Arabidopsis thaliana: one gene and its partners. The protein of the gene in region 1 interacts with the protein of each later gene in a pairwise test. Each region holds a gene or a part of one and is shown in the gene's direction. Other genes may lie near its edges. The genes, in order: AT3G54190, FBS1 and EMB3003.

The links.
Region 2: the proteins of AT3G54190 (region 1) and FBS1 interact in a two-hybrid assay, tested with the Arabidopsis thaliana proteins (one large-scale study listed by BioGRID).
Region 3: the proteins of AT3G54190 (region 1) and EMB3003 interact in a two-hybrid assay, tested with the Arabidopsis thaliana proteins (one large-scale study listed by BioGRID).

Annotation. Positions count from the first base shown.
Region 1 is NC_003074.8:20,062,464-20,066,218, reverse strand, and holds the start of AT3G54190 (Transducin/WD40 repeat-like superfamily protein), read left to right. Parts: upstream 1-2,057; 5' UTR 2,058-2,338; coding exon 2,339-2,530; intron 2,531-2,662; coding exon 2,663-2,810; intron 2,811-2,887; coding exon 2,888-3,038; intron 3,039-3,128; coding exon 3,129-3,254; intron 3,255-3,332; coding exon 3,333-3,413; intron 3,414-3,563; coding exon 3,564-3,755. Other genes in the region: AT3G54200 (Late embryogenesis abundant (LEA) hydroxyproline-rich glycoprotein family), read right to left, coding at 1-488.
Region 2 is NC_003070.9:22,626,163-22,629,917, forward strand, and holds the start of FBS1 (F-box family protein), read left to right. Parts: upstream 1-2,101; 5' UTR 2,102-2,234; intron 2,235-2,246; exon of another isoform or gene 2,247-2,353; 5' UTR 2,354-2,363; coding exon 2,364-2,630; intron 2,631-3,197; coding exon 3,198-3,272; intron 3,273-3,363; coding exon 3,364-3,579; 3' UTR 3,580-3,755.
Region 3 is NC_003070.9:12,588,553-12,592,307, reverse strand, and holds the start of EMB3003 (2-oxoacid dehydrogenases acyltransferase family protein), read left to right. Parts: upstream 1-2,084; 5' UTR 2,085-2,223; coding exon 2,224-3,081; intron 3,082-3,312; coding exon 3,313-3,504; intron 3,505-3,595; coding exon 3,596-3,683; intron 3,684-3,755. Other genes in the region: AT1G34440 (uncharacterized protein), read left to right, coding at 1-120, 167-266, 466-508, 881-960. UniProt on the Arabidopsis thaliana protein: The pyruvate dehydrogenase complex catalyzes the overall conversion of pyruvate to acetyl-CoA and CO(2).

The DNA of each region.
Region 1 (3,755 bases):
AACGTTATATTCAACGGCACCGTTTTCCGCGCCGCGATTCGGTTAGCCGGAAGAGGAGCTTCACCGATCACTTGGCCTCTGTAATTCAACAACGCCGACGACGAATCGTAGCTAAACCCGATGCGGTTAGGGTTTTTGAGAGAGAGATCGACGTTGAGCGTTAGGTTTAGGAGGACTTTGAGAAGGAGAGGATTGACGGAAGCTTGGAGACGATCAACGGTGACGGAATCGATTGTAGTAGTTGGGCGTTTTGGTTTGAAGAGAGTGAAAGCTAAGATGACGATAACTATGGCGATTAGGAGAATGAGAAGGATAGTGAAACAGATACAGATTTTGCAGTTGCGTTTCCGCCGCAGTTTTTTAGCGGTTCCGGTGTTAGCAGATTGCGTTTCCATGGAAGAAGCGTTTGGTTTGGGTGGTGGTAACATGGCTGTTGCTGGCTTCTCCTCTTCCTTTTTATCATCGGGTTTGATTGAAAAATCACTCATAGTTATTACTCTCTTTGTTACGCTTTGTGGTTCTCTCGCTGTTGAGTTTCTCAGGGGTTTTGGTTTATCCTATAAAGGAGGAGACCACTATTTGTACGCGGATTCGTTACCAGTTTTTAATTACATGACTCAAACACATTTCATTTTAATAATTTGTTATTTTACATTTTAATATTTCTTGATTTTCCACGAGTATATTTTTTAAAAAAATAGTTAATTGATGAAAATTACATTTTCATAAATTGGGAAGAATTTGATGAGATACTAGTTTTTTTTTTTTTTTTGGTGTATGTCTGTAAATGGAATCTCAATTTAATTTTGTAACACACTTCTAAATTCATAAAATAAGTATTTAGAAAAATAAAATAAAAACGGATAAAAGTATAAAACATACATAATGTTCGTCGAACGTCGTAAAGACAGCTCTTTATAAAAATGGTTGTTAGTTGAATTTTATTAAAATCGGTATTGATTGAGTTGAGATTTGACCATTTTTAATAATGTTTCGAAGACGTGCATTAATTAATTCAGCTGGACGTGGAAGAAGGGAGATGATAAAAATAATAAAGTGAGGTTAGCGGTAGAAATCAAATACTTCACATGGCTTTTGTAAAGAGACCATGCTTGATGCATCATCCGTCGCTTTTGCCTAATTTCGTGTGGTTATTACGTAACATATTCAATGACTAATTCACCGTCTTTTTCTGGGCCCATTTCTTCATTTACACGGGACGACTTCTGGATTTTGGCCCGTTTAATCTGTCTCTCTTATTAAATTCATCATGCATTTGAATGCCCATTTGTTTTATTGACTTTTTGCTGTTGAGTTTCTGACATTTTTTTAATCCCACGATAGAAGTTATTAGAATCACATCATTGAAAAGTAAGTTTCCAATAATTTACGATACTTTTACCTAAACATTTACTCTATTTTTTAGTTTTTTTAAAAAAAATTATTAGAAAATTTTGAAAGTCAACTATAGTATTTTTACCAAAACGCATTGAACAATAGCATATGAATTAGAACATATTCAAATTCTCAAATAGATTGTTTTAGTGATTTAGTCCAATGTATTAGAACAAAATTTAATGATGTTTCATTTCTAAACCTTTTATCTTACAAATTGGATAACCAATCAATGACTTTTACTTATAAAATAATATGGCTGGTAAACAAAATAACAAATAAACATAAATATCCAATTCCAAAATAATAAGTCGATGCCGGATTTTGACAACCAAAATAACGGTGTAAGATTGTTATAGTGTTTGTAAACATGATTGATGGTCGTATATGAAAGCAATACTTCGTATAATTAAAAAAACTTACATGTGTGACTATGTGATGACGTTTTTTCGTGTAGTTGACTCATGAATTTTTTAAAAATACTAATAGTAAAACAAAATAATTAAATATTTTCGAAGAATTCTATCAAGCAAACTAATCAATTGTCACAAGGTTTATTGGGCTGGGCCATCCATCACAGCCCATAAAAGTTAATTTCTTTCAACCCCTTAAACGCTGCGTTTTAAAAATATTCAATATTAATTTTATCTTTCTACGATCTACGATGCTTCGGATTGGTTCGGCTGGTTCGTGCTCGAAATTGAGATTTTGAAAGAAAAAAAGAGCTCTGAATCATTGAAATCAGCTTAATTCCAATCTGAATCTGCAAAAAAGTCTTACGTCACACTCCCATGTAGTAGCCGTCACTTCTCGTCTTCCTCCTAGAGATTACCCAACTCTCTCGCTTCTTCTTTTTCCTCTTAGGGTTTCTTCATCCTTTAGGGTTTCCACAAAAATTCAAAACCTACTTGGAAATATTTGGGCTTGAAGAAGGAAGAATTAGATGGAAGGAAGAAGGATTACGGCAAGCCCTAGACCTTGTAGTGGAAGAAGAATTGTGGCTAAGAAAAGGTCTCGACCCGATGGATTCGTCAACAGTGTTAAAAAGCTTCAACGAAGAGAAATCTCTTCTCGTAAAGATCGAGCTTTCTCTATTAGCACCGCCCAAGAGAGATTTCGTAACATGCGTCTCGTGGTATGTTCTGAATTTTCAATCTTTTGTAATTTGCCCTAATTCCCAAACCCTAGAGATTGCTTCTCTCTCTTAATTGGGATTTGATTTGAGTACTAATTTAAGCTGCTCTTGCTTGATGAATTTTGATTTCAGGAGCAATATGATACTCACGATCCTAAAGGGCACTGTTTAGTTGCATTACCGTTTTTGATGAAGAGAACTAAAGTTATTGAGATTGTTGCTGCAAGGGACATTGTTTTTGCGCTTGCACATTCTGGTGTTTGCGCAGCTTTTAGTAGAGGTAATTATCGTAACTTGACTACTTACTCTCAGCTTTGTGTCTATGTGACTGATAGTATGATTTACCTTAAACTGCAGAGTCGAACAAAAGAATATGCTTTTTAAATGTTAGTCCAGATGAAGTCATCAGGAGCTTGTTCTACAACAAGAACAATGATTCTCTCATCACAGTTTCTGTTTATGCTTCAGACAATTTCAGCTCTTTGAAATGCAGATCCACTAGAATTGAGTAAGTTTTCTACCATCTACCAAATCGGTATCATGTCGTCTGTTGCGTTATTCAAACTAATGTGTGTTTCTGGTTGTAATCAACTATTAGGTATATTCTGAGAGGTCAGCCGGATGCAGGGTTTGCTCTTTTTGAGTCTGAATCATTAAAGTGGCCTGGTTTTGTTGAGTTTGATGATGTCAATGGAAAGGTGCTGACTTATTCTGCGCAGGACAGGTTATTTTTCTAGTCTCACAGCCTAAATTTTTTTTTACGACAAGTTTCATCCTCTGAGCCTGATAGCTGTTTCTGCAGTGTATACAAGGTGTTTGATCTGAAAAACTACACCATGCTATATTCGATATCAGATAAAAATGTCCAGGAAATTAAAATCAGGTAACTTTTCTCCATCTTTCTTTGACCCTTTTGTTGTTTCTTGTTTGCAAATATTGAGCAAGCTGCTTTTCTAACTGTGCTGTCCACTAGATTGGATTGACAGACTTGTGAATTTTCTAACTGTTGTGCCCATTTGATTCCCTGCATCAGTCCAGGGATAATGTTATTGATCTTCAAGAGAGCTGCCAGTCATGTTCCTCTGAAGATTCTGTCGATAGAAGATGGCACTGTTCTCAAGTCCTTCAATCATTTGCTTCACCGAAACAAGAAAGTTGACTTCATTGAACAATTCAATGAGAAACTTCTTGTTAAGCAAGAGAATGAGAATCTTCAAATTCTTGA
Region 2 (3,755 bases), on another chromosome or scaffold:
TTTTAAATAAATACCTAAACTTTTCATTGAAGAATAGTCCTAGGCGTTAAGATTCGGTTCGGTTCCACTCAGTTTTGATTCTTTTCAGTTGTAGATTTTATGATCAATTAGAATATTTTAATATTTTAGTTCGGTTTTGGTTCAGTTCAGGTTTTTTGGTTTTAAATTTTGGTATTGATTCGGTATTTTGTTTTGAATAGTTTTAGATATTTTGGTTATTTTTGGATATTTTCATACATATATATTTGGTTATTTTTAAGTATTTTTTCGCTTTTATATATTTTTGCATATTTTTGATTATTTCATCTATAAATAACTAATATTTTCGATATACAATTGTCTTTTCAAATATTATTAGGTTCGGTGAATAATATCATTCAGCTCTTTTTGCTAATTTATAATAGGTTGATAAAAAAAACTTACAATAAGAAAAAAAATTCTTAACTAGATGTACCTAAAATTAGTTAATAATTTAGTAAGATCCTCAACTAATGGGCATGCACACTTTTTTCAATAAGAGTTTGGGAATAAAAATAGAGATATATAATAATGATCATTAATCTATGCATATTTTTGGACCTTGATTTTTCAGTAAATAACTTAAGTAAATTATATATATGATATATCATACTTAGGTACAAAAATTCAATACTATATATATATATAATTTAATTTAATTAGTTTTGTCAATTTAATTAATGTAATATTTGTATCTCTTAATTATTAATTACTGTTTTATTGAGAAATAAAAAACAAATTGACCAATTTTAAAATATACTTTAAACATATCCTTACATTAGCCAATAAGTTAGTAAAAATATGAACAAATGGCATGCATATATTTTTTTCCATAATATTGTATTTTTTCAATAACATTGTGGAAACAAAAATAGAAAAATATAACAATTATGCATGCATATCTTATATTTTTTTATTTGTTAAAAGCTTAATTTGGATCTTGATATAATATTGACCTAAAACAAAATCAATTGCATATATACCATAAAAAAATGTCAAAAAGACTCAATAAGAATGGATTAAAATGAAAGTTAACCATTGATAACTAAATCTTAATAAATGTGTCGTCATTAGTGTGTCGGACTGCAAAACTGTGGACTGCGCATCTGCCGTCGCTAGTGTGTCGGACTCTCTGTTTCACGGTGTCTCCAGGATATAATCCTCCTTTCCGGTGCCAGGTTATTATTCTCCGATTTGCATTTTTGTAACTGTGTTTCTCGTTGTGTATTACCGTGATCCAATCCCATATTTGGGGAAAACCTTTATAAATGAGAAGTCCATATTTATTAAAAAAAAAAAAAAAAAAAACTTAACAAATGGCATGCAAATCTTCTTATTTTTTTTCAAAAACAAATAATGGATTAAAATGAAGAGTTAATCAATAAAGACTAAATCTCAACAAATGGCATGCAAATCTTTTTATTTCTAGTAATATTGTAATTTTCTCCAATAAGAATGTGGAAATAAAAATAGAAAAATATAACAATGATATATACATATAACATCTATAGATCTTGATGATACAATATTGACATAAAAGAAACTAATTGCATATACCATAATTAAATGTCAAAAAAATTCAATAACAATGGATTAAAATAAAGAGTAATCAATAATAATAAATAAATTAAACAATAATCATCTAATTTCTTTTGGTCGGTGATAACTGATAAGTGTTAGATTATCAAAGATTGTGTCAGTGACTCGAAAGATTTTTACTTTTTGCGAATCCTAAGAACAAAACAAAACCGTGTGAGGCGACTAAACCGTCAAACGAACAACTTGTCGCCACGTCAGCACACGAACCACCCACGTTGGTTCCTCCTCCGGCTCAAAGTTCACCACGTGTCTTTCCCCAACGGCTAGTTTTTTTGTAAGCCGTCTTTTGCTTACCAGCAAAAAGTAAGGAAGAGAGGGAGAACAACAAAATTTAAAAAATTTAGATATTTTTTTTTGCTTAGGAAATTTCCAGCATTTTCTACTTTACTCGTTTTCATTTAAATAATAATAAATTGACTTAAAAAGAAAAAGAAAGATAATTAATCTACTATAAGTAGAGAAGAAGTAGTAGTTCATTTTTCTTTGTCATAATATTAACACCAAAAAAGAAAAATTACTCATTTTTCTCTCAGCTTTTGTTCATTTCCCACAAACATATACTTTCAAGACTCACATCAACAAATCTCGGAAAATCTTCGGAAAAATCTTATTTATTTGTAAGTTTGTTTCTTGCTCTTAGGTTCACTTTTCATTTTCTCTTTATCCAATTCCTCTGTTTTGGGGATTCTCTGAAATTTGGGGAAAGATCTGATTTTTTGTACTTTTGCTGTTGCAGATTGATAAAAATGGCATTGGGGAAGAAAAGAATCGTTACCCAGAAGCCGAATTTGAGGCAACGTCGTGATGTGGATAATGGAGGATTAGGGTTAGGGTTAGAGTTTGTACAGTACAAGAGAGGATTTGGGAGAAAGAGGATTCTCATTTCATCTGGTGATGAGATGGAGGATTCGATTTTCACTTCACCTGTTGGAAAAAAGCTCTGCGATGACAAAACTACTTCGGTTGCAGAGGGTCAGAGTCGAGAGCTTGAAGATCTTCCCCTAGATATTCTGGTTCGTTTCTTCACTAACTCTTTCTTTTAATCTCTTTCTGGTTTTGTTAATTAGTTGTCATTTCTTCTTAATTTACAAAGTATCAATCATATTGAGCTGAAAGTTGAATCCTTTTGTTTTTAATCTGAGATTCAAAATTCGTTTTGGAAATGAGAAAGTGTTTAAATTTCTGGTTCATTTCATCAGAAACTCATTCTTAATCATTTCTGATTTCTGGGTTCTGTTAATTAGTTGAGATTTCATAATAATTTACTGAGTATTAATCAGATTTGAGCTGAAAGTTGAACCTTTTTGGTCTTTGAGATTCAAGAATTTCATCACAACTTATTTTTATCTGTTTGTGATTTCTGGGTTCTGTTAATTAGCTGAGAGTCTTTGTTAATTCAGCGAGTGTCAATCAGATTGAGCTAAAAGTTGAATCCTTTTTGTTCTCTGAGATTCAAAATCGTAATGGAAATGAGAAAATGTTCAACTTTTTCCATATCTGGAAAACTTTTGTCATTGTGCGTAAGATCGTTTGACATTTCATAGACACGTGTTGATAGATCTTGTGATTCATTATTACAGGTGAGGATTATCTGTGGGGTCGAGCATGAAGACTTGAAACAATTGTTTCATGTTTCAAAGACAATAAGAGAAGCTGTAAGTAAAATTTGGCATCATTAGTAGGTTTTGATGATACATACACCATTAGTTGATTCTGAATCTAAATGTTCTTTGTTTTTCTTTGCAGACAATGATAGCAAAGCAGTCACATTTCGCGTATAGTACACCTCGGAAAACCTCGGTTTTCCACCATGGCAGATTTGGTTGGGATAAACCGTTTGATGTAGAGGATGATGATGAAGAGATTGAAGCTCCGGGAGCTCCGTTGCAGAAAAGGTACCGTCTTTCGAGGATAAACCGCAACAAGGACGATTCCGGAGTCTCAGTGGCTCTATTCCACTGAATCAAACAACTTGGTTTCTTCAAGATTCTTAATTGAAGAGGAGGGGTTTTTAGTTATGTTTTTTTTTGGGTTTTGGTTTGGATAGGTCTCTGTAAATTGTTGTTAGATACAAAAAGAGAGATAGGGTTTTGGAAAGGCTAGCTTCTTTAGAAGGTCACAAACAAACTCTATGGGAG
Region 3 (3,755 bases), on another chromosome or scaffold:
TACTTCACGTCCTACTACTTCTATCATTAAGGAAATCAAGATGATAGTTAGGACAAGGCTTGATCCTCTTTCTAGGGCTCAGAGATCCACCCCTCCTGCCTTGACCCTCCTCGCCACTTGGTTCTCCTTATCCCAATGACATTTTCAGTTGTTGTTTCTTTTGTAGGCTTGGTTTCATTGGGTTCACTTTGTGTTTGGACCTTCCTCTTGCTGCGGGGGCTGCGTCCTCTTGTTTCGGGCCTCGGCCTTGTTTGTTTCTGTTTCAGGTTTGCGTACCCCTTCTCGGCATTTATCATATATGTTATGTTTTTCTAGTAAAAATTTAAAAAAAAAAAAAAAAAAAATTTCAGATTAGCGATTAACAGATGATAAACGGTGTCATAGTGTATTGATTATCAAAACAAATTGCAAGTGATTCATACTACGAACAACCGTTTGATTTTATTTTGGTGTGTGTTTGTTTAGAGAAGAAGAAAAGACAAGGTTTCTTCTAGAATTATCTATTCAGGTAAATAAACATTTATCTTTTCAATAAAATACAAAAATCAATCAATATGTGAAATGATCTGAAGAAAGTTTTGTGGGTTTCGGCCCAAAACAAAATTGTCATGTTATTCATTAATGGACTCCTAAATTATTCGTTGAAGCAAACAATTTTTGGCATTTTATTAGATATTCGATAAATAATCATAAATAATAGACTTATTTGTCTAAAAAACCACAAAAACAAATAAAAATTGTATGACTTTTTTGTGTTGTCGTCGTCGTCGTTATCAACCCTCATCATCATCATCACCAACGTAACCACCGACGCCATCATCATCGCCATTAACAACTGGATCTGTCTCCGTTTCCATCAAATCTCTTTCTCTCTCTGCAGATCAATTGATTTTTTACAACGTGATTGAAGCGGGGCTAGCTCCGGTGACGATAGTTGATTGGTTTTGTCCCTTAAGATGAGCTCCTTCAATGGTAACGAACGGCGTCGGCGGCCGTGAATCATGAGAGAGATGGCTCAGTTTCTTTTTCTTTTCTCTGATCTTCCTCTTTATCATCAGATTCTATCTCAGAAACTTATCAATGTGCGTTTGATTTTTTTTGCTTGGGTTCCCTTTACAATAATCATTAGGGTTTAGTTTTTGAATGGAATTCTCTTCCAATAAACAAAATATCATTAATGGTGAATAGTGAGGACGCAAATGATTATTGAAAAGCTTTGATTTCGAATACTCGATTGCAGATCTGCCACAAATCTGAAACTCTGTTTTTACTATTCACCTTCTTCTTCATTTGCAAGATGATTTCATTTCGTTCGTTTAATTTTTTGCTTTGGTTTCATAAATACTATCATCTTTAGGGTTTAATTATTGTGAATCAATGAATGTTTTTAGTTAGAATAGATTTTAAGAATATGAGATTTGGAAAAAAAATTGGATTTAAAAGAAGAGGAGCGTGCAAGAAGATGATGAGAGAAGATGATGAGATTATTCAGGGGTAAAATGATCAAATCGCCCTATCAAAACTACTCTTTTTCAAAGATCATACACAAAAGCCTCAAAATCAAAATTTTTATCAAAAAACATCCTCTTTTGACAATAACCCCTAAATAATATTATAAGTATTATACACTAATATTCTGCAACTGTCCAGATTATTTATCATTTACCAAAGAAATATATTAAAAATTATATTTATCTTTAAATTCAATATTTATAATGGATCAAACATCAAACAAATTTGTATACCGAAATTTTTTTAAAACACAAAATATAAGTTTCTCCTTAATTTTCTTTTATGAAATTTTCTTCTAAAAATAGAATAACATATAAAATAATACATAAGAGAGAAATCATGCTTTATTTTACAGAGAAAAATAGAGATTTACATTGGAGATAATCTTATATGAAAACTGTAAAAAACTATAAAATCAGGGCGAAAAATGTGTATGGTAAAAAAACTTAACATGTGGTTAAAGGTTTTAAAAAGATTACAGAATAGTTCTCTATTGGGCCTTCGAAAAAAGCCCAATACCCAACAACAAAAACGCGCGTGTATCACACCTTCAATACACTAGTAAGAGTCACACAGTGATCGTCACCGGTAAATTAGTTGGCAAACTCCGCCTGCTCTTCGATAATTCCGAGGAGCTTCTTCACTCTTCTTATATCTCATTTCTCTCTATCTCTCTCTCTCTCTCGCATTGCGATTAACGAAATTCGAAAAATGTCTCGTCTTCTCCAAACACCCTTCTTACCTTCAGTTTCCCTCCCCACAAAAACACGATCTTCCGTTACGGGTTTCCGGGTAAAGCCCAGAATCATCCCAATTCAAGCAAAGATCCGAGAAATCTTCATGCCTGCACTAAGTTCCACGATGACCGAAGGCAAAATCGTCTCTTGGGTTAAATCAGAAGGCGATAAACTCAACAAAGGAGAGAGTGTTGTTGTTGTTGAATCTGATAAAGCTGATATGGATGTTGAGACTTTCTATGATGGTTATCTAGCTGCAATCATGGTTGAAGAAGGTGGTGTTGCTCCTGTTGGTTCTGCTATTGCTTTGTTAGCTGAAACTGAAGATGAGATTGCTGATGCTAAAGCTAAAGCTTCTGGTGGTGGTGGTGGTGGTGATTCTAAGGCTCCTCCGGCTTCTCCTCCCACGGCTGCAGTTGAAGCACCTGTGAGTGTTGAGAAGAAGGTTGCAGCTGCTCCGGTGTCCATTAAGGCGGTGGCGGCGTCTGCGGTGCATCCGGCGTCTGAAGGAGGGAAGAGGATTGTGGCGTCTCCTTATGCTAAGAAGTTAGCTAAGGAGTTGAAGGTTGAATTGGCTGGTTTAGTTGGAAGTGGACCGATGGGAAGGATTGTGGCTAAAGATGTTGAGGCGGTTGCTGCTGGAGGAGGAGTTCAAGCTGCTGTTGCTGTTAAGGAGGTAGTGGCAGCTCCTGGTGTGGAGTTGGGATCGGTGGTTCCTTTTACGACAATGCAGGGGGCTGTGAGTAGGAATATGGTGGAGAGTCTTGGTGTTCCTACTTTTAGAGTCGGTTACACGATTAGTACGGATGCTCTTGATGCTCTCTACAAGAAGGTGAGTGTGTTTTGAAATCCGTTTGGTTGGTATGATAGAGTAGACTGGAGATTCCATTGATTGTGATAATAGTTGCTTGATGAAGTTTTGAACTTTGGGATGAGATTATGAGAGATAGCTAGTTGAATTATAAATGATAGTATCTTATGATGTGCATCAGAAGCATACACTAGTTACAAACTGTAAGTGTAAATGTTGATTTGGTTCACATTTTGTGTTTGGTTTGTTTAGATTAAGTCGAAAGGTGTGACAATGACGGCACTTTTAGCAAAGGCAACTGCACTTGCACTGGCGAAACATCCAGTTGTAAACTCGTCTTGTAGAGATGGTAACAGTTTTGTGTATAATAGTAGCATCAACGTTGCTGTTGCTGTTGCTATTGATGGTGGTTTGATCACTCCGGTGCTTCAGAACGCTGATAAGGTTCTTTTCTTTTGTATGCTTTATAAGAGATTTTGAGTTTACTCTGTATTCAAAACCGGTATCAGTGGGTTGTTCTATCTTTTGTAAACAGGTTGACATTTATTCGTTATCTAGAAAATGGAAAGAATTGGTTGATAAGGCTCGAGCCAAGCAGCTGCAGCCTCAGGAGTACAACACTGGTAATCCTACTACTAGAATATTGAAGTGATTTGAGTTTGAGTAATCCTTCAACTAGATTGTTTGAGTCTTGT